Linked DNA regions of Oreochromis niloticus. The protein of the gene in region 3 interacts with the protein of the main gene of each other region in a biochemical or structural test. Links are inferred from orthologs where the notes say so. Each region holds a gene or a part of one and is shown on either strand. Other genes may lie near its edges.

Region 1 (7,060 bases), on a different chromosome or scaffold from region 3:
ATTTGTTTTTTAACTAACTGAAATTATTTTAAAACTGATAAAAACTAAGAGACGTCCTCAGGTGACCTCACTCAGTCCATCATGCTTGTAAAAGCCCTGGCGTGCTTATATTATGCACCAACAGGAAACTAACTTTTAGCTGAGGCTCTGCCTCAGTCTGATGCCCCCCCCTGCACACCTTGTGGATGTGGCTCTCCAGCTGCTGATGAAGACTTTGGTAGCTCTTCTTCACCTGCTGCTTGTCCCGGATCAGCGTGGCGAGACGGTGCAGCGGCCCCGAGTTCAGATCGTCGGCGTGACTTCTCATTATCCGACCCAACGCCTCTGTCTGACGAATCACCTGCGACCACGACTGGGACACACACACACACACACACACACACACACACACACACACACACACACACATACACTCTTAGACTGGTTCACATGCTCTGCCCCTCCCACTGAACCGACAGCTGAGCCGCTCACCTTACTCACAGTGCTGACATAGTCAGCAGTTTCTTGTTTCTCCATCTGCTGTGTCATGCTGAGCAGCAGAGCTGCGTACTCTTTATCACTTTTCACCCGCAGCGTCATGAAGCGCTTCACCGTCTCCAGCAGCTAGAAGGCAGGTAGCAAGAGTGAACCAGACAGGAAGTGAAAGTGAAGAGGAGGAAGCGCAGAATAACACAATAACACAAAAGACAGATGTTTGACACAGAATGTAGATAAAAGATGGACATGGCCACTGTGACACACTGATTTTTTGAGTCTCAACGTTAGCATTTTGGATGAAGCCATGTTATTTCTTTGATTAAGGAAGTGACCATATTTGTCCGAGAGGGCAGATTTACCTAATGCTTAATACTTACTCAGCGCTGTGTGATATCAAATCAAAATCTTCAAATTTCACTCACAAAACTGAAGATCACCTTTCTCAGGCCTGTTAGTACAGTAAGCTCACAGCAGCCATATTAATTAACATAATTAAAAATGTTCCAAAAGGCTCCAACAAACTTTAATATACAAACTTTAAAAAGGTGTTATATAAACATTCACACTCATACAGGTGTTTAAACCAGTAAATTATCTATAGAGACCCCAAATAATGTGCATCAGGCTGTAAACATGTTTATTTCTGCTGCAAGGTTTTAACATGGAAGTCTGTGGGGACTGACTCACTGCTGCCCCTGCTGGACATGAGAGGAACTGTATCCATCTTTAATTACAGTCTGTATAACCAGGGCCCCCCCACAGGTCAGACTGTGAACTACACCCCTCTGATAGTGATCTCCGCAGGTGGAAACATGTTGAGCTCTGTGAGTATTTGAGGCTAAATCAGACCTTTAACTCCCAGTCCTGCAGCTTCAATAATCCCTCGTGGGAATTCCTTAGATCCCGACCGAACCCCATCCTGGATCTCAGTCTTTGTGTTTAACAGCGTGGATTAGCGGACACTGATAGCATGGCCGTCTATGGAGAGAGAGAGAAATACGTGCAGGTTCATAACAAATAGATGATCTGAAACAAACTCTTCAAACCTCGACATCTCCCACAGTCACCTCTAAACCTCTGAACAAACTGAGCAGGAAATATTTACTCTGCTAAAGCCACAGCCTGAAACCTCATAAACCATTTTATAACTCTCTAACAACCCTCTAAAAACCTTTGAAACCATCAGAAACCAGAAGAGGGTGATTTCACCTCCAGCACAGAAAAACTCCAACTGTCCGTTAACAGAAATGAAACCATCAGGTGTGAAACACTCACTTCTTCCTGCGGCTTTAAACTGATTTAAACTATAAACATTAGCTTCAATCTGTCAAAGCTAACTCCAAAATCTTCCAAGAATTTCCAAAACACGTTCCAAACATATTTCCAACATCTTCACTACTTCCTTCCAGGACGCTTCAAAACTTTTCAGACTTCCTTCAAACTATCTAATCACGTCACAAAACCTTAAAACACATGAAACGGTTTAAATATGGTTTTAAAACACTTTAAGATCTTTAAAAACTTTTTTTTTAAAAAGTTGTTAAAACGGTTTATGGCACTTTAAGTGTCAAACTATGCTAACGCTAGCCGCTGCTCCCATATAAATTAAAGGGAAACGAGGCTAGCGTGCTAAAAAGATAACGGCAGCTTCCTTTGGAATTGCAGGAAAACTGACTTGCTAACATACTAACAGCTGCTGTTAAACTTTGTTCAGAAGTCTTTAAAACTGAAGCCGAACGGAGAAGTCACACTCAGAGACTCCGTGTCCGCTTCTCCGAACCTTTTCTCCGGGTACGAAGCTCCGATGGAGCGGCGGAGGAGCGCCGGGATACTCGCAGGGGGTTCCCAGTTTTTCCTGCGCTCCTCGGACGCTTTCTGCCGCTTTAACGCACCAGGAAGTGAGTTAATGCGGCAGGAGGCTCGCTGTCCGGTCACCGCGGTCCTCTGTACTCCTCGGCCGGTATCATGTCCTCCAGTTCTTCTGGATTCTCTGCTCCGTTTCCCGGCTTCTCCAGCTGCTGTCCGGCTACCGAGCTAACGGCTAACAGGGAGGGGCTTCCGTGGGAAACGGAAGAAAGGGGGGAGGAGGGGGTCTTATTGTGTGGCTGAAGACGTGAACGTGGAACATGCATGGGACATACGTTGGAGCTGTCTGGACACAGACAGAACATCTGGATCAAACACTCCGATTTCACACACCTGGATTAGACACACCTGGGCATCATTTCTTACCGCTGCACCCTGTGGTGGAAACTATAAAAATAAACCTGAGAATATGCACACCTGTACCTGAGCCAGGTAAGCATCTTGGTGACCCGCCAAACTAAACTCAAGCAATAAAACCCATTCAGCTTGTTATGATAGTACTTACTAAACCAGTCTATCGGAAATATCCAGAGCAGCAGGGAGCCTTACCTGTACTGTTACCTCTCACTGTAGCAGGTATTAGCCCTTCGTCACTCCCATTGACTGTAGTCAATGGTCACTCCCCACATCCTTGTTATGAAAAATTTTTTCTCTCTGACATCATCAAAGCGCTCACATTAAGGTAATCTCCAGCGCACAGAAATACACGTAAACTTTCTGCTTCAGACTCATGCATGCTCATATCAAAGCACCTCCTCCTCCAATCAGAGGTGTTACCAGAGCGCAGGTAATAGAGCTCTATGAAGAACGCACCTGAAAATATGACTAATGTGACATGAGAGAGCTTTTATCTGTGAATTATTGAGTACATGTTTTTATTTTCTGATATATTTCTCATGCAAATGGAGAGTCCTCTTCACACACTAAGGTTAATTATAAAGTTATACAGGGCCCAGTGCTATAACCAATTCTGTTTACATTATAATCCCTTGGGGAGTATCTCCCTTAGGGAGTATCATTAGAAGGCATAACATACCTTTTCCCTGCTATGCAGATGACACCCAGCTGTATCTATTCATGAAGCCAGATAACACACACCAATTAGTTAAAATGCAGGAGAGTCTTAAAGATATAAAGACCTGGATGACCTCTAACCTTGTGCTTTTAAATTCAGATAAAACTGGGATTATTATACCCAGCCCTAAAAATCTTAGAAATATTGTATCTAACTAGATGTTTTTATGATGTTTTTAACCAGTTGCTTTTCAATGCCAGTTTAAAAGCATATGTAGGACTGCTTTCCTCCATTTCTGCAATACCTCTAAAATTAGAAACACCCTGTCTCAGAGTTACGCTCATTTTTTTTAAATAGCACCAAATCACAACAACAGTTGTCTCAAGGCACTTTATATTATAAGGTAAAAACCCTACAATAATACATTGTAAACAGAGAAAACCCCAAAAATCATATGACCACCTGTGAGCAAAAGCTTTGGCAACAGTAGGAAGGAAAAATTTCCATTTAACAGGAAGAAACCTTCAGCAGAACCAGGCTCAGGGAGGGGCAGCCATCTGCCACACTGGATGGGTGTGCGCCAGGGCTGGACTGGGACAAAAAATCGGCCCGGGCATTTTGACTAGAGACCGGCCCACCAGGTATTAAAGCCATAAAGCCTTTGAATGAAAACAAACGCTGTTGTGACAGTGATGTACACTGTCTTGTTGGTATATGTATGATTTCTGTACATTTTATGTCAGATAAAAACTTTGTTCGCAAGATTCAGATAATTATTTAATAAAAGCTAGATATTTTAAATGAGAATAAGAAAGAAAAGTATGTCTTTGTGCCCCCTTTTCCCTGTTAATGCCCTACCTGGCCCCCTGGCAAAACTTTCCTAGACCCGCCCCTGCACAGTTACCAGCTGTCAGCTACATAAAAAAGGATCCTGGTGTTATTTGTCTCTCAGAAACAGTTCATAACTTCCCTTCAACTCATCCATGTCACCTAAAAGGTGAACCTGTTTCTCCATCACCTGTTCAGCTCTGATGATTCAGTAAGGACATCTCCTGGTTTCATCTTCATCTTTCCCTCTCACCACATATCCAAACCGATATCATGACCAGCAGTTTTTACAGCTGTGGCTCCAGCAAACATCAGCTGATACTAGAAATTACTATTAAATAAATTCTAACAACAGCTGATCAAGCTTAAACGTGCTGCTGTTGTTTAACGCGACATCTGCTGGTTTCTTCTTTCTGGCGCAAAGTGGGCGATAAATAAACAAGAGAGAAAAGCCGATCAGCTGATCACTGATCAGTTTCATGATTGAAGTAGGAACAGGAGAGGGAGGGGAGAGAATGAGAGAAGAGGAGGCAGCTGTGCAGCGTAAACACACAGAATAACTCCAGCTTTGTGTCTTTGTTTCATTCTAGCTAAAGTACGGGACAAACTGCGTCTCTTCTCAGCTTAATACGAAACGCGTAATATTTTCTCTGAATGAGGGACCATTCCATTTTTTAAGGAGCCGTTGGCAACTCTACTAACTAAACTTATGAATAAAATTAAGTTCACTATCAGTAACATCATAGCACCCGCCCAGCTGTATACAAACTCCGTCATGCTAGCTAGTACGCAGTACGAGTTATTGTAACTGACAGTAAAAAGTCAGCACAACAAAAATAAACTCCACCTAAACTTGGTTTATATCTGACCCAGACAGACTGCAGGTCATAACTTCTTACCTGAAGTTCAGTTCACCTGACACTCGGACCGCCTCGGGTCTCTCCTCCTCCTGCCTCCCCTTTCCCTCATCCACCTGCTGGCCTCTGTGGAATCTCTGCCATAGCCACCACCAAACAACTGAGTTATTTTTACACATCGGCCAGCATCTGGCGCATCCACCACCTCTCATTGTTCATGCTGTTACAACATGAATAAATAAATAAATAAATAAGTCATCAGCCCACCAGGCAAATGCCCGGTATGCCCGATGGCCAGTCCAGCTATGGTGTGAGCAGATAAAGACAGGAGAAGGACATGCTATGGAAAAGAGCTAGAGATTAATAATTAATATTTAAATGCAGAGAGGTGTACAAACATGTGAGTGAAGAAGAAACTCACTCAGTGCAGTCCCCCAGCAGCCTACACCTATTGCAGCATAACTAAGGGAGGATTAAGGGTCACCTGATCTAGCCCTAACTATATGCTTTATCAAAAGGAAAGTTTTAAGCCGAATATTAAAAATAGGCATAGTGTCTGTCTCCTGAATCCAAACTGGACACTGGTTACATGGAAGAGGGGCCTTGAAAGCTCAAGGCTCTCCCTCCCATTCTACTTCTTAATACTCTAGCTTTCATGGGGTGATACAGTATTATAAGGTCATTAAGCTAAGACATGTATGTGACGAGCAGCCGGATTTTAAATTCTGGATTTAACAGGGAGCCAATCAAGATAAGCCAATATAGAAGAAACATGCTCCCTCTTTCTTATCAGTCTCTCTCTGTCAGTAATCGTGCTGCAGTATTTTGGATCAACTGAGCTTTTCAGAGAGTTTTTAGGACATCCTGATAATAACAAATTACAATACAGTCATAAATACATAAACTACTTTTTCAACATCACTATGAGACAGGATGTGATGCTGAGGATCTAATTTTAGAGATATAGTGCAAATGGAAGAAGACTCCAAGATTTCTCACAGTGTCACTGGAGGCCAAGATAATGCAATGAAGAGTAAGTATATGGTTAGATACCATATTTGTAAGATTGTCAGGCCAGAGTACATTAACCTCAGTTTTACCCGAATTTAGAAGCAGAAAGTTAGCGGCCGTCCAAGTCTTTATGTCTTTATGACATTCCTTCAGTTTAACTAATTGTTTGTGTTATCTGGCTTCATGGATAGATAAAGTTGGGTGTCATCTGCATAGCAGTGAAAATGTATGCTATTCCTTCTAATAATACTGCCTAAGGGCAGCGTGTATAATGTAAACAGAATTGGTCCTAGCACTGAACCCTGTGGAACTCCATAATTAACCTTAGTGTGTGAAGAGGACTCTCCATTTACATGAACAAATTGGAGTCTATTAGATAGATATGATACAAACAACTGCAGTGCAGTACCTGTAATACCTAAAGCATGTTCTAATCGCTCTAATAGGATATTATGGTCAACAGTATCGAACGCTGCACTGAGGTCTAGCAGGACAAGCACAGAGATGAGTCCACTGTTAGAGGCCATAAGAAGATCATTTGTAACCTTCACTAAAGCTGTTTCTGTGCTGTGATGAGCTCTGAAACCTGACTGAAACTCTTCAAATAAATCATTCCTCTGCAGATGATCTGTTAGCTGTTTGACAACTACTCTTTCAAAAACTTTTAAGATAAAAGTAAGGTTGGAGATCAACTAATAGCTTTTTAAATAATAGTTTAACTACTGCTAAGTTGAAGGCCTGTGGTACATAGCCGATCATTAGAGATAGGTTGATCATATTTACGCTTGAAGCATTAATTAATGGTAGAATTTCTTTGAGCAGTTTTGTAGGAATGGGGTCTAAAAGACACGTTGATGGTTTGGAGGAAGTAATTACTGAAGTTACCTCAGAAAGATCAATTGTGGAAAAAGACTCCAAATGAATATCAATGGTACTGAAAATACCTGTAGATAAAGTTACATCTGTTAGATGATTATGAGTAATTTTTTCTCTAATGGTTAAAATT
Region 2 (7,682 bases), on a different chromosome or scaffold from region 3:
TGCATTATTTTAATTTTGGATTTACTATCTTGCTTGTAAAAGCCTATTGAAAACATGACAAATTTGTATTACAAGCCATTATTAGAATCCAAAACAAATCGATATTACCTAACTAAATTCCCCAATGCATAGTCAAGAGGATAGCTTGCAAATCACTAAGAAACAAGATGAGACGGAGCGAAACAAAAAAAAGAGCACATATGAAAGCAATCAGGGGATCCCTTCCCCCATTCACACTCCCAAATTGGTTCTGTTGGCTCAAACTTCAGTCCTGTGATTGACATGCTGCGGCAACAGCCTCCATTTCTGAGACAGCTTGAATATTTTCACAGGTCAATTAAACTGAAATGATGGGACTGAAACGAAAAAAATGATCAAGCTTGCTTTATCTGATACAGAGTGAGCGCAGCCTCAGCCAACGTTGAGGTGATAAACCTCAAAACTTCCCAGCACGTAGAAGTCCTCTATTAAATACCTATGGAAAAAGCAGGTACACATGCATAACACTGCTGTCTCTTTGGGAGAATTTGGAAAGATTAACAGCCTTCGAAGCTGTTGTCTGCAAACCTGAGTAACACCTAAAGTGCCATAAAATGCTTCAGGAAGTCTGGCTGCCTGCAGGCTGCTGCCGGACAAAAATGTTTTCCTACACTGCATTTAGCTTTAATTCTTTCTTTGTCCCGTACAAAAGACTTTTTCATGCACTCTCCAGCAAGCAGAACCCATTTGTTTTTTTCTCCCTCTGTCGTGTGGCTGGAGTCCCCTGATAATATTAAGCGATTACATCTAACAGCCTTCTAATAACTCTGATACCATCAGCTTCACCATTCGAAAACCGCCATGTATTCATACTTGGCGTGAGTGTGGCACCATGCTGTGGAATAACATGCTCACAGAGACATGACAGGCTTTTAAGAGCCCAGAGAAGGACAAGGCCACAGTTTGTTCAGGCCTTTTCCTGTCAGGGGCTCTGTATGTTTATGCTGTGGCTTTGACACCCATTCACTGCTGAAGGACTGAAATAAACAAGCCCTGAGAACTATTGAAAAAAGCCACAGACGTGGATGCAGAGTATTTTTAGTACGTTTATTTTGTAACTCTGGAACTCTAGCATGTATTTGTCTCACATTTTCACGAGGCATTTTGAAGGAAATAAAAATGACAGCCCTGGCTCTGAGCAAATCTGTGCACCCAGAAGGCTCCTAAAGCAGTCCCTAATTACCATTTTCAATCCCAGGGTCAGCGTGGAATGTGATCCAGAATGGATTACGTTAGCACTCTCCCTTTTTCTATCCCCGCCACCCTCTCTTTTTCTTTAAAACAATTTTTGCCACTTTATTGCTTTCATTCTCCTTCGTTCTCCAGGTCTCCTATATGTTTAATGAGTTGCACATGTACAGAGAGTGGTGCTGTGACAAAATGAAATGCCCCACTGCTCTGTCTCATGCTGGGATCACAGTGTTCTGCTTACAGTACACAGTCCCAACCCTCTGCCAACCCACCTGTCCAAACTACACTATCGGGATCCCCATTCATGTGTTGCTCTGCCAGCCCTTTTTAAGTGCCTCCTGTTACCAGTCATGAAAAATAATAATAATAATGATAATAACTCTGTGTTTCTGACTCATTTCTTTTCGCCTGGAGGGGTAGATATTAGTCATGCAACTCTAAATTAAACCAAATCTTGGAAGAGTTCAGCTTGCAAAATGCTCACAACAACTCACAAGCTAGCTGCAAGAGAGTGTAAATGCAGGAAGACGTAGACTCTTCACTGGAGGGAAAGGAGGAAAGCAATATTCAGGTGAAGAGGAGCTGTAGCTGCTATCATATAAGGACACTTGTGCATGTCATCAACAATGGCTGCCTAAGAATCATAGCCTTAAGGCTGCACATACCATGCAGCAGCTGAAACTCAAAAGACAGACAGAAAGAAAAAAGACAAACTTTCTTAATCAGTCGTGTCTCTCGAATATTTGTCCACGAGTACAACACCCCAAACAGAAAGGTAGGCCCTATCTCTTTGAAGCTTTTTGGACTACTGGACGCAAGTCCTCCACAAGAACAGTCCCATATGTTTCACATTATAAAAGGTCTTCAGTAGACCATAGCCCACAACAGCAAGGAACCCCAAATTATAGCTACTGCAGAATACAATTCACTGGGGGAAACGTTTAAAAGCTAAAAAGACTACTAACCCTGACTTTATGAAGTTTCAGTTAAAGGCATTTAAATGGTTCTATTTAAAAACATGATGTAAAAATAAAGACATTAAAAAAATCAGATGAGAATGAATGACTCGCTTCCCTGTTTTCAGAATTTTTATACCAGAGCGCGCGCACACACGCACGCACGCACACCCTGTTTCTAACCAAAGTAAATACAAAGAATTGCCCTGTTTTACTCTCTGGACGACCTCACTGCAGTGTGACTGTTGAAAAGTTCTCCACAGAGTGGAAGTCTCATCCCGCTTTTTAAAGCACTGACCAGCCAGAGTTAAAACTCCTGTCTTCTTCTGGCGAACTGTTTCGGACAACATGCCTTACCTTTTTAAAGTGAAAGCGACGACTTGTTTTTTTGGGGGGGAGGGGGGATTCTTCTTTTCCTCCTTTTTTATGTAAGTTTAAGCTGTAGAAAGAAAAGGAATATGATAAAGTCCGGAGTCTCAAAGAGCCCTCAGCCGTCAAACAGGCTTACTGCGGGCTGGGAGGCTCATTTTCCTCTGCTGGAATGCGCTCTCTGCCTATTCGGAGTTTGCTTGGACCCAGGGGCTCTTTTCGCTCCTTTCTGTCACTGCTGGAAATAAAATAAAATCTTGCTCGTATCCTGAAAAAAAAGGGAAACGCTGCTGCTGCTATTTCTCCTATGCCTCCAAAACACTCCCTCTAGTCCAGGCTACCGCTGCAGCCGCCACAAGTCCTGGCATGGGATAGTCCTCCTACCGCTCCGCCGTGGGTGTCTGCCTTCTTCCCTCCCCTTTCAACCTACCTCCCCTCGCTTTGGCCTCCTCCCTCTGCCCCCTTCCATTTGTTTGTTCTCACCCTCACTACTCATACACAGACTTTAATTTCCTGCCAACCCCCACCCACATAATCACCTTTCATATGGCTGCTGTACAAGTAAATACATATTCATGACATAATGAAATATATAATTGTAAGAAATTATAACCTACCGTTTAAAATCTTTAATATATAAGTAAGTTTAAATTAGGCTACAACTTTTTAATGTTTCATAAATGTACATTTTATTTCCTCAGTAGTTCATGGGTGTACTACAAATATTCAAACCGTCAGGTTTTTTTTTAGTTTTTTTTTTAGACTAGTCACTTTATTACATTAACATAGACCGAGTTAAAATTACTCACACATATTATAAAGATCTCCAGCGGTCCAAATCAGCCTCCTTCAGAAGGTAAATCTTGGGTCTTTCATGATATCTCATGCACTGCTTTTATTTATTTATGAAGTTTTTTAACAGATATTTAAAGCTACCATCAAACAACTAAAGAGTAAAACTTCACTCTCAATCTGTGTAAGATCAAGGGTAAAATAGTGAGTTGCATTTAAACAGGGATCCAAGATCAACTTTAGCATTACAATCAGTCATCGTTAGAAACAATGCTGTCTAGCTAACTTCTTCTCATACATGCAACAGCTAATTTAAATGAACCAGAACAAAAAGGCATGTAAAATTCTGTGACAACTTTATTTTGATAGCGGGTAACAGCATTTTAGTAGCAACAATTTTCTACAGTTACAATGTAAAATATGTTGTATTGCAATGTATAACATATATTGTAAGCTAAGCCTCAGGATTTGCAATTAACAACAACAAAAATGTTCTCTCAATAATGCATGAATTAACCTGTCATGACAACACAACAAAAGCGACATTTATTCAGAGGTCATGTTAAAGACAAAATCAACAGGCATTTATTATATATTGTTATAAAAAGTCATCATGTAGTAAAATTAACTGAAATAAGGTTATATCTACTAAAAATCTATTATGATAAAGGTGTAAATAGCACTCAGCATCTAATATTGAAACTTTCAATCATTACAACCTGCAAACAAAAAAAGTCTAAAAAAAAAAAAAAAACCCCAAACAAAAACAAAACACCTCCCCAATCTTTTAAGTACAATACTTTTCTTTTTTTTTTGAAAAGCAAATGGTTATAAAAAAAAAAGCAAACAAGCAAATTGCAGAGGACATGCTACTCTTATGTGATTAATTATTATCATTCTGTGGAATGAATTAAAAGTGTGTGCTAGAACTATAAACTGTACTGCTGGCGGATGTAAAGGTCATAGTAGAGGTGTAATCCACACTGCCTCTACGAGATCCACTCCTCGAGCCGGTACGAGACCCAGCCCTTGAGCCAGAGCGAGATCCTGGGTTAGAGACATTGTAAGGGCTGCTGATTCCCTTGGTAGACACAGACGAGGCTTGCAGCATCTTCATGCCATTGCTTTCCTCCACCATGCAGCTGTCCATGGCTTCTTTGTAGGATATTTTCAGTTTAGTCTTGGGACAGGTCAGGTTCTTCTGGTGGTTCCGAGTGTCTTGAAGCTTCTGGGCCCCCTGACCATCTAGCCATTTTCTGCGGATAGCCTCTTCAATACTGACGCGACGTCCAGTGCCAGGTTCAATCAGGCCCCCTGTCAGGTACTGAAACTCCAAAAATCTCTGGCCAGCCTCATAAGGCAGCCATGTCTCCTTGACTGCCTCTGCCGCAGACATCCTTCTTTTAGTCTTCACATCCTCAAAGCCAACATAAGCTTTCTGGGCAGGTTTCAGTTTACTGGCCATGCTTTCATCAATGATGCTCTGATGGACAGCATCTTGCAGTGACAGTCTCTCACCAGTAGCAGGGTTGATGATACCACCTGTGCATGCCTGGGCCTCCAGCAACCTCTGTGCTGTAAGAGTGTCAACTATGCCTCTTCTAAGCGCTTCACTAACAGTTATTTTCTCCAAGGTCTCTGTGTCAAATATAGCCCCCACGGGGCTGTGGTCATCAAACATCTCAGGGGGAGAGACTGTAATAGATATACTGTTGAAGCGTTTACGGACAGTAGGAGAAGATGGTGTTGTGTGGGTGGGGCTGCTGCAGGTGATCATGTCATCAACATTGCTGGCTGCAATGGTCATTTCAAGGCTGCTGCTTCTGCTGGCAATTTCGTCAGCAAATTGGGTCAAGGTCATTGTTCCAGCACGATACTTATCCAAAGTGCTCTGGTTAATGACACCACGCTCTAGGCAGTCCTGAATATCATGTTGGAGTCCAGTTTTTCTATCTACTATAACCAAGCGTGCAGAGCCATCTGACCCTGTTATAGTTATTTCCTCCCACTCACACTCCTGCTCTGACAAGTCCAGGAAAGTATCGTAGTCAATCAGCTCACGGTGGTAGGCCTCCCTCACTGACATTTCAAGCCCAGTGTCTGGATCGACGATTACAACCCGCCTCTTGCGTAGGATATTTGTGCGGCTTTCCTGCGTCTTCTGGGGCTTTCTCTTGTCTCTTAGTGGCAGCAGTATTAGACCTGTTTTTTCATCTTTGATGCACCTTTCCTTCAGCTGAAGATATGTCAGGTTCTCCTTGGTATTAGGATCAAAGAATCCTTTTGTGTCATCCCCTTCATAAGATAAGATTTCATTCATCTCCTCATCAAAGTATCCTCTTTTATAGGCAACAGCAACATCAATACGATGGCTCTCTTTGGGGTCAATAATCCCACCACTGGCAATCTGAGCCTCGAGCAGTCGGATTCCATGACCCTTCTCAATAAGATCTTTCTCAATAGCTTGGAAGAGGGATATAGTTTTTCCTGTGTTTGGGTCTCTGTATCCTATTACTGCCTTCTCTGCAGACAACAGCTTGCCCTTAAACTCCTTCCCAATCAGACCCCTCTTGCTGGCGTCTTCCACTGTCAAGAAAACATTGTTGACTGGATCAACTATGAAGCCAGAAGCAGCCTGGGCCTCAAGAAGCTCCAACGTGGTGCCTCTCATAAGCAGACCCTCCTTCATTGCCTGATAAAAAGGTAGTATTCTGTCATTGGCTTCATCATAGATCCCGGCAATACAGGTAGAGCCATGGAGATAGGTCTTTAGCTTGTCTTCAATATCTCTGCTAGTGAGTTTGCCCTGACTGAGCTTCTGCAAGTCAGTTTCATCCAGAAGTTCAGATTTGACGAGTTCCGAGACAGAGACTTCACCACGGAGACCTTTCACTGTCAAGGGTTTTTCTGGACCAGAGATCAGAAGCAAGCCAGAAACAGGTTCCACTGTACACTTCATCCGAAGGTCATTGTAAGTTGTCTTCTGTCCAGTTGTTGGATCCAGATAGCAGGTTGGTTTTTTAGTCAGAGCCCTGTAGAGGTCCTCGTCAATAAGATTGCGGTCCAAGGCCAGATCTTTTGGTAGGAAGACACCCAAAACAGGATCCAGTATACCCCCAACAGACTCTTGAGCCTGGAGCAAGCGGATGGTTGTCTCTTTGTCTATGTGGCCTTGTCTGCAAGCCTGACCCACAGATAACACTTTGCCAGAGTATGGATCTTTGAAACCTGTGCTAGCAGCTTCAGCTTTCAACAAGACATCTCTGTCTTCTGTGTCTACAATCCCTCTTGAACAGGCGGTATCCACAGGCATCTTCTCATTAAATGCAGGATCCACTATGTAGCCCGTTGCTGCCTGAGCTTCCAGAAGCTTAAGGGCACTCTCTGGGCTGAGCATATTCTTGTTTTTGGCTTCAGTGAATGGGATTTTCCGTTGAGAAGTAGATGTCATACCAGCAATGATGCCACTGCCCTTAAGGTTAACCTGGATGTCTGCAGCTACCTCGCTCACTGTCCTTCTTCCCTTTAGGAGCTCATCTAGAGTAGCTTTACTAATGATACCACAGTCGCAAAGCTGATGGGCTGTAACTTTGCGGCGCACCCCGTCAAACAGAAGCTTTGACGGATCAATGGTTTGGACCTTCTCATCTGTCTGGGTCTGCCTATTCAGAGTGTTGGGCCTCTGCTGCAGTCTGCGTATTTCTCTTTCCAGGGACTCCTTCTTGAGAGCCAGCTCTTTTGCCTCCTTCTCTGAGCTCAACAGACGGCTCTTGTACCTTTCTTCAATACTCGTTAGCTCCCTCGTAAGCCTCTCGATCTCGCTCTTGAGGGAAAGCCTCTCTCGATCGGCCCTATCTCTGTCTGACTCGCACTGCCTAATCTGAGAACTTTTCATCTCATACTGGCTCTTTATAGTGCTTAGCTCCTTGAAAATTGAATTTTTCTCCTCCTGCAGCTGCTGTTTGTTTCGACGCTCGGACTCTAGTGTGACTTTGATGCGATTGAGCTCTTCTTCTAACCGCAACTGACGATTCTTGTCCTGCTCCAACAGTTTAATCCTGGACAGCAAACTATCCTTCTCCAGCAGCAGATCACTGTATTTGCTTTGGGATTCTTGCACCACAAGCGATGTCTGTGAAGAGATAAGAAAGTATGTTGTCATGTATACAAGACATTTTCCCACATATAGAATACAAACAATTTAAATTAAATTACATGTCCTTCATTTGTTAGACCTGTCTGAACTAAAGTACATACGTGTGCATACCAGCATGTTAGTGTTAAACTGTTTAATGGTATGAAGTTCATAAGTGCCATAAGTGAATGGGTAAATGA
Region 3 (8,004 bases):
TCATTTGAATGATCTCTCTCATCAACTCCTTATTTTATGAGGGACAGAAATTATATTTAATTAATTAAATAACCCTGGAAAATATGTTATGGTTTTTGTTTATATTGTACTGAAAATACAACACGATTCTTTGTTTCTAAGTTTGGAATCGAGGGTTTGAAACAGCATTTTTACCCGTAGCTCCTTACTTGCAACGTCGTGCAGACATGGGATACGTTACATGTTTTACCTGGAGGGAGTTTTTACAAACACCACATCAAACAAAAGGTTGTTTAATAAGAAGAATTTTTAATATATTTATAATAGTTATCAGACTGAATGAATGGGCAGTAAAAAGAGCAAACTCCTTTCTTTTAAATCATTTATTTCCAAATGAATGGCCTTGTTGGAAGGGCTTTTTGGCCCTTATGATGCATAATAATTTCACCGCGCTCATGAGATGCTACTGCATTTTAGTTATGGATGCTTTGAAAGTTTACACTACATTAAAAATAACTGCAACCTCTTTAGTTTTATAGAGAGCTGGCCAGCACCCTACGCCGAGCCTGATTTGGCCTGTGAGCCGCAAGTTGAGTATCACTGTTACAGACCTATTATGAATTACAGGGAAGTTAATAAATAGTGAAAATAACAGGGTTTCTTTTAATTATTTCCCCATGATTTCATTCTGCTAACACAAACAGGTAGCTGAGGCAATCGTTTAAATACTGAGAGTTTAGAAGATGTCAGCAGTATTTCTGAGTGTCACACTGATGACACTTTATTTGTCTAACACTTTATTTCCTCCGAGGATTTTCCCACTATACTCTTAAAGCCGGGTGAAGAGAAGACATACGGAAGAAGAGGCTGAAAGTCTCCTCGGAGGACAGCAGCGATGCCTCTCTGGTGGTCCCGCTCTCATCTCCGGGTGAGTTAGATCAGTAACATGCAGTCTAGACTGGTGAGTCACAGCAGGCTGAGTTAGCCTATCACTGAGGCCACTTCAGTAAGACTTAATCAGTGCACAGTGAGCTTCACTAGAGTGTGACGAGGGCACGAACTCTATGGATACAAAGGCCACTGAACACAGACACACACACGGGGACGGGGAGGTGAAAGAGTGTGTGTGTGATATAACACTTTAATAATACTTCATAACTGAAAGTAAGACTGCTGAGATTCACTCTGGAGCCAGTCGGAGCGCTCGTCCTGAACTGATGCTTCACAGATTGAGTAAAGTGCACCAACCAGTTCCCACCAACAATGCAGTCATAGTTGAAAATCACTTCACCTGTGACTATAGGCTTTGTTTGTGTGTGTGTGTGTGTGTGTGTGAGAGAGAGAGAGAGGGAGAGAGCAGCTAATAAAACAGACAGTTGTTTGTACTTACATTAGTCATTTTAGTTGTGAGGGGGACTTGAATGAAAAACCCCAAAGGGGGCTCTTTCTTTATTTTGTGCACATCAATGAAAGCCAACAGCTGTATGTCAATAAAGTGAGCACTGTAGAATAAATTGTTATTGAGTTCAGATTCATTTTTCTATTAGCATGTGCCAATAAAACTGCTTTTAAAAGCAGCTGGCCGGGGATTATTGATCTCCCCAAATACACCTAAAATAGATCTATACAGGTCCATATGCACCCATTAATCTGCACAACCAATCATTTTCTCAGTTAACAAATTAAATATCTCAAGTCCAAGTACTGACTGACCACCAGATCAAGCATTAAATTATATTATTTATTATTATAAATTATTATTATCCCCCCAAAACCTATAATAAAATGAAAAACAAGCAAAAATATGATTTGCAGCTCTTTTGCACCTTCCAGTTAGCTCTTGTTTTACTGGCACGTACTCAAGCTCCAAGTGTGACAAGTGGCCCCTCTATCGCACAATGTCCCCCTTTTAGAGCCAGGAGTGAATAATTGACATCGTCATGATCCTTGGCCCACAATGCACTGCCTGTTTAGTGTCTTGTTTTTGTTTGTGTTTACAGCAAAGCCACGAACCGTCCGCCTGCAGTGCACAAGTCAGTTGTGTCGCAAAGCTGCAAAGCAGGTTCTCATATTTCTTACCTGAGTCTCTGCTCTGTGTTTATTTGAGCAAGTCAAAGTGTTGCAAGATTGGAGATTTGTGTTTATTTATTTTTTAAATCTTTTTAAAAATTATTTTGGTCCAAACTGTAAATCTAAAGCGAGGCTGTTTTGTGACAGGTGTGATTTTTCCTCATAATCAGCCCTTCATAAATCCCAGGAGGGCTGAGAGGACCCGGCTGAGGAGTCACGGAGGAATGTAGTCCTCCGGACCAGAAAAAAACCTCCAGCATTTCCTGAAATTACAGCCAGCACACTCCTGTGCCATCTCCCCGACGCTCCGTGGTTCTATTTTGCCGACGGCGGAGGTATTAGAGACAGGGGAAAAGCGCTGAAAGTTACCCACCTTCTCTGCCTGAAGCGCCCGTCACTCCGAGCAGCACGGCCCCGACAAACAGCAAACTTCTCGCCGCCTCCATCTGCGCAGACCCGGCGCTTCTAGTCCATCTGGGGGGAACAGAGATGAAGTTTTTGCATCTCATTTAGAGCTAACTGTCGTTTCTGGCACCGTGTGGAGTTGTTGTTCGTGTCCGAATCTCAGTTACTTCCTCCCATGAATTCCCTGCCTGTTGGTAGTAAGCGCGTAACAGGAGCGGAGGCGCGCTCCCGTGGCGTGAAGGCCTGAACGGGGAGTGGCAGGTTCAGTCAACCCGCCCTCACTCCGGTCTGACTTACTTAACCCTATAACACGTTTCATTCTAATTATGTCTAAAAATTACCTTCAAACTTTAATTGCGCTTATTTCTCCTCAGAGGGCTCAAGTGGATCAAAGTGTTAAATATGGAGAACAATTAAAGCATTTACCCTGTTCATGCATAATCTGTGAATATGCTACCATCTTTTTAAAAATTTCAGTATGCCTTCTATCGCTTGGAAGTAAAGGGGAAAAGTCAAATTGGCTATATGCAGGGGCGTTTCCGGGATTTTTTACAGTAGGGTGCCACAGAGGGGTGGGGTGGGGGTCAGCATACAGGGTGTATCCAAAAAAGAACAAAAAAAATCATCTGATTTCAAAGTGCTTTAATTCCACAGCCCTTCACTGGAAACGGTCGAAAAAGCAGATTTGTGAGTTTTGCACGGTTGTCTGTGGGTAGCAAAACAACAGCAGTGACTCCAGACATGCCCGCAAAAGTATGGGACGAGTTTGCCTTTCGTATGGACATGTGCCGTGCATCCAGAAGAGGACACACTAAACACTTGTGAACAAGTTGTAAGTTTTGTTATTTTAAACTTTATTTTCAGCAATGTATTTAAAAAAAAATTACCACAAACTTCTGTGTCCATTGCTTTAAAAAAATACCTAACCTTTTGCAATCTGATGATTTCTTTAGATACACCCTGTGTTTATGAGAAGCAAAATCTGGGCTCTCAAAAAGTATTCTTGACCCTCAAATATGAAGGGTTAAGTTTGAATAAAATGCACTTGAAATGTGTAAACTCAAAGGTTTATTTATTCAAATAATTAACCATTAAGGGAAATATGCTTGGTGTAAGCTGACCACATAACAATCAAATACATTTCATTCACCAGATTGCATTAAATGTTTCACACTGTACATTTACATGTAATCAAATTACTTAAAGTTAGAATTTTGGGGATAAATATTTTTTGTATAGAGCATTGACTTTGAAAAGCCTGGCTGTGATTTTCAGTCCCTGACCCATACTATGACTGTATAACATGAAAAGTGGTGCTTTACAAGAGTTTAAACATAATTTTGTGTTGGTCGATTATTTTGGAAAGTTAAAAAAAATAATTTGATTATGTAAAAGTAGTAATAATTGTTAAGTAACTTAGTAACGCAACGGCTGTATAACCATCACACATTTAAAGCACCTCCAGTAAACATGCAGATTATGTAGAAGGGTGTTTTCATAATTACTTACTCATTGATGTAAATAACACTGTTGCACCTCAGGATGATTTTAATTACTTATATATTTCTGGGCAGCTTGTTATGATAAGCAGGTTCTGGATGGATGCAGGACTCTGAGGCAGGCAGATGTAAAACAGAAAATTACCTCTATTAAAGGTGAAGAAAAGTCCAAAACACATTCAAGAAGTCCACAAGGAGAATTTAAATAACAGAGGTCTAACAGGAGAAACAAAATCCGACTGGAAATAGGCTGGAAACACAAGAGGATAACAAACAGACAATTTAACAATGAACAAAGGAAACACAGGACTATAAAAACTCACACGCTGGGTGCTAATCAAGGGAAGTGAACACTACTGGGAGAAATCTAGGCACAAGTAAACAGAATCTGGAGAATGAAACTAAGGAAATAACAATTACAGATTAGACACACATTTACACAGTAAATTAACACGAATGAACACCGGTGAAAATAAACTAAGGCACAAGGGATGAGATATAAAAAATAAATAAATAAAAGAGACTAGATCTCAAAGAAACAATGACTAACACCAGACTATACTATAATTACAAGAAAAATAAAGAAACCCCTGAACTGAAAACATAAACTTTAACTTAAAAACTTAAAATGCTGGGTCCAAAACCCAGGACCACGGCAGATCTATAATAATGCAAATTATCTACATGACAGTAAGTAACTTAAGATTTAAAATGAACAGTATTGTGTATAAAGTATAATATTTAACATTTACATATAAGTGAATTAGACCTTTATCTGAGTAAAGTACTAAGTTACACAGTTAAAAAAAAAAACATTGTCCTGATTAATTTTCTGTATGGCAAATGGTAAAATTCAGTGTATATAATGTAACTCATTTTAAAATGGTACATTGTACTGTATACATTCCTACAGGTCCATGCTCTCATTCACTGCTGGGCATTATACAGTTGTCATGGAGCCATAGACACATGTGGTTTTTGTGTCTTCTTATTGGCTGTTCTGACACTTACTTTTTTAAATGTACTTTAATCTTTTCTCTTGTACGTCCCCTTTTTCTATTTTTCTGTGATGAGCACTTAAATAAAGTCACTTTCTTACACCACATCCATGATGTAATACTGATCCCCAAACATCCATGAAACCTTACAATGTGAATACATTTCAGATTAAAAGGGGACATCAGGATATTTGAAAAATGTTCAAGTTAAATTGCCTGTTTTTTCAAAAATTACATAAAATGTGCATTATCATATAAGAAAAGACCTACATCAAGAGTTTATTTAGAACAATTACATAACAATTATCCCACTAACACAATATTTCACCAATTTGACGTGTAGTATTAAATGTCTGTTTAAAAGAATGACACATTTTACAATAACTGTGTCAAAACGCGTAATTAACAAATTCAAACATGTTTAATTAGAGTTTCATTTTGTTTTGTAGAAGTTGTAAAACTCCCTGTTTGAATTATTAAATGTGAAAACTGGTTACATGAAAAAAATTATCTGAAATGTATCGAGGCAACGATTACACTCTTAGCTGCATTATTTCATTATGAATCACACTGACTGATATCGATGTGTTTATTTTTGCAAACTGGCAAATTTTTAGATGTAAGTCTTGCTTTGTATATCAGTATGTTTGACTATTAAAACTTTATTAATATTTAAGGAATGAATCAAATCAACATTTTAGATCAGGGGACTGTTGAATTTATAAAAAAAAAAAAGTGAATTCTTTGCGTGATACAAGATTGGAGTGTCTTCATATTTCTCCCGCTTTTCTCATGCTCTTCATTCACGGTCACAAATCAGGAGTCGAAGGAGGAAGAATAAACTCTATTCATCCCAATCTATCGTCTCTCCCCACCCACAGAAGCCCGGGTCAGAGTCCAGCCTCCTGCACAGAGCTATCAGAAAACAACAATAAGCTACACACTGAGCCACACAGACCACAAGTTGCGGACCGTTCGCGAAGCTGAGTGGTGCTAGTGAGGCTGAAATATTTAGTTCCCACAGAAAAAAAAGTCATCTGCTCCTGAGGGATGCAGTCAGTTTAGTATTCTGGTTGGAAGATTTTCCCAGCAGTGAACTTTAAGTCTTAAACTTTAAGTGTTTGTTGGCTCTGTATGCAACTCCTCGTTTTAGCAAGCTGTGCTACAATAAAACCTGATCCAGTAGTCAGCAATTTTCATCACACTTGATGGTGGAAATTGCTTCAGAAAAAATGGCTGTAATTCTCAGGAACACATAAAACGTGTGTAAAAAAAAAAAAAAAAAAGGTCTGTGTGGGTTAAAAGGTGAGGAGGCCAGGAAGTGGGTGAGAGATAATGTGTTCAAGTGAGAGAGTCCAAGGACAACTGCAGTGAAGCACAGTGAAAATATACAGAAAAGAAGTCATTACCAAAGAACATCATAAATTCACTCATAGTTCAGTTCCCCTGACTGGCCAAGTTTTTAGATTTGGCATGAGAGAAGAAATAAGAAATACAGTGCGGGACTCTTCAAGGACAAGAAAACCATATTGTTTCCCACTGCTGCTCATAAATCCAAATACAAGTCTAAAGGAATTTGTCTTGATTATATCGGAGACACAATGAAGGTATCTGTGCATATATCACTGGCACAAATAGTACAAGGTCAGCAAGCCCTTTAGACTGCAGTGTAACAGGGGAGGGACAAACATGTCACTTCTCTACTCACTTGTCCTGCTCTGTTGATACCTCTAGCTGTGAACATTTCATGCATTTTAACACAGGTTTAGTGTAGCAACACTCCTTCAAATCATCCACCTAAATGCAAGAAAAATTAAGGATTACTTAAACTTTTATAAGTATACGTGGGAGGAAATGGAAATACATCAGTGCTTTGTAAGAGACACTCACAGGCCTGTGAAGTGGATAAACAACTCAGTGCATTTAGGCATGTAGACATGGTCAAAACAACCTGAAAACTGAACATGAGAATGGGGAAGAAAGATGATTTCGGTGAGTTTCAACATGGCATGGTCTGAATATGTCAGAAACTACTGATCTGCTGGGAGTTTCCCAAACAACGATCTGTAGAATGGTTTAAAAACGAGAACATAACCAGTGAGCTGCAGTTCATATCAGAGGTCAGAGGGGAACAACCAGACTCCCTTGAGCTGATAGGAAGGCAACAGTAACTAAAATAACCTCTGTTTACAGGATCTCTGGAAGCACATTGTCTACAGCAGCAGAAGACCACACCGGGTGCCATTCCTGTCAGCTAAGAACAGGAAGTCAAGCAAACCAAACCTGAACAACAGAGGCTTGAAAAAGAGCTGCTGGATCTGATGAGTCTACATTTCTACTGTGACAATCAGATGGTAGGGTCAGAATGTGGTGCAAACAACATGAAACCATGAATTCACCATGTCATGTATCAACAGTTCAGGCTGCTGTTGGTGTTAGAGATATATTTGGGCTCCTCCTGACTAATTCAGCTTACCTGCGTGTTGTTTCTAACCATATCCATCCCTTTATGACCACAGTGTGTGATCTTCTGGTGGCTGCTTCCAGCAGGATAACATGCCTAAGGTGTCAAAGTTCAGTCATCTCAAACTGGTCTCTGGAACATCACAATGAGTTCACTGTTCTCAAATGGCCTCTACAATCACCAGATTCCAATCCAATAGACGTTTTGGATGTGGATGAATGTGAGAGGCTCATCATTGATGTGGCAAATCTGCAGCAACTGTGCGATGCTGTCATGTCAATATGAACCAAAATCTCTAAAGAATGTTTCAAGCACCTTTTTCAGTCGATGCCATGAAGAATTAAGGGAAAAGAGTGTATACTAGGAATGTGTGTCTGACAGCTGGATTTGCCACCATTTAAAAAAATTATTATTCCAAATGTAACTTACAAAATCAAGCTCTTACTGTAAAAAAATGACTGTGCTGTATTAAAAATCTTTAGGTTTGTTTGCCATTAAAACTGCTACTTTAGAGTTCCCATAAACATCTTTTTACTGTAAAATATAACATCATATGCTTTCCAGAGACTTTACATCACATCTTTTCTGA

The links. The genes of interacting proteins can lie anywhere in the genome.
Region 1: the proteins of erbb2 (region 3) and fer form a complex in vitro, tested with the Homo sapiens proteins (2 studies listed by BioGRID and IntAct, with this or other methods). The link is inferred for Oreochromis niloticus from reciprocal best matches to the Homo sapiens genes ERBB2 and FER.
Region 2: the proteins of erbb2 (region 3) and tensin-3 form a complex in vitro, tested with the Homo sapiens proteins (2 studies listed by BioGRID and IntAct, with this or other methods). The link is inferred for Oreochromis niloticus from reciprocal best matches to the Homo sapiens genes ERBB2 and TNS3.

Annotation. Positions count from the first base shown.
Region 1 is NC_031972.2:38,198,064-38,205,123, reverse strand, and holds the start of fer (tyrosine-protein kinase Fer), read right to left. Parts: upstream 3,014-7,060; 5' UTR 2,893-3,013; intron 2,776-2,892; exon of another isoform or gene 2,686-2,775; intron 2,527-2,685; exon of another isoform or gene 2,258-2,526; intron 1,456-2,257; 5' UTR 1,396-1,455; coding exon 1,327-1,395; intron 604-1,326; coding exon 472-603; intron 353-471; coding exon 179-352; intron 1-178. UniProt on the Homo sapiens protein: Tyrosine-protein kinase that acts downstream of cell surface receptors for growth factors and plays a role in the regulation of the actin cytoskeleton, microtubule assembly, lamellipodia formation, cell adhesion, cell migration and chemotaxis.
Region 2 is NC_031982.2:17,521,600-17,529,281, reverse strand, and holds the start of tensin-3, read right to left. Parts: upstream 3,014-7,682; 5' UTR 2,544-3,013; intron 1-2,543. Other genes in the region: dspa (desmoplakin-A), read right to left, coding at 4,258-7,479. UniProt on the Homo sapiens protein: May act as a protein phosphatase and/or a lipid phosphatase. Involved in the dissociation of the integrin-tensin-actin complex. EGF activates TNS4 and down-regulates TNS3 which results in capping the tail of ITGB1.
Region 3 is NC_031973.2:16,306,645-16,314,648, forward strand, and holds the start of erbb2 (receptor tyrosine-protein kinase erbB-2), read right to left. Parts: upstream 3,014-8,004; 5' UTR 2,559-3,013; coding exon 2,423-2,558; intron 2,417-2,422; exon of another isoform or gene 2,197-2,416; intron 2,042-2,196; exon of another isoform or gene 1,980-2,041; intron 908-1,979; exon of another isoform or gene 511-907; intron 1-510. UniProt on the Homo sapiens protein: Protein tyrosine kinase that is part of several cell surface receptor complexes, but that apparently needs a coreceptor for ligand binding. Essential component of a neuregulin-receptor complex, although neuregulins do not interact with it alone.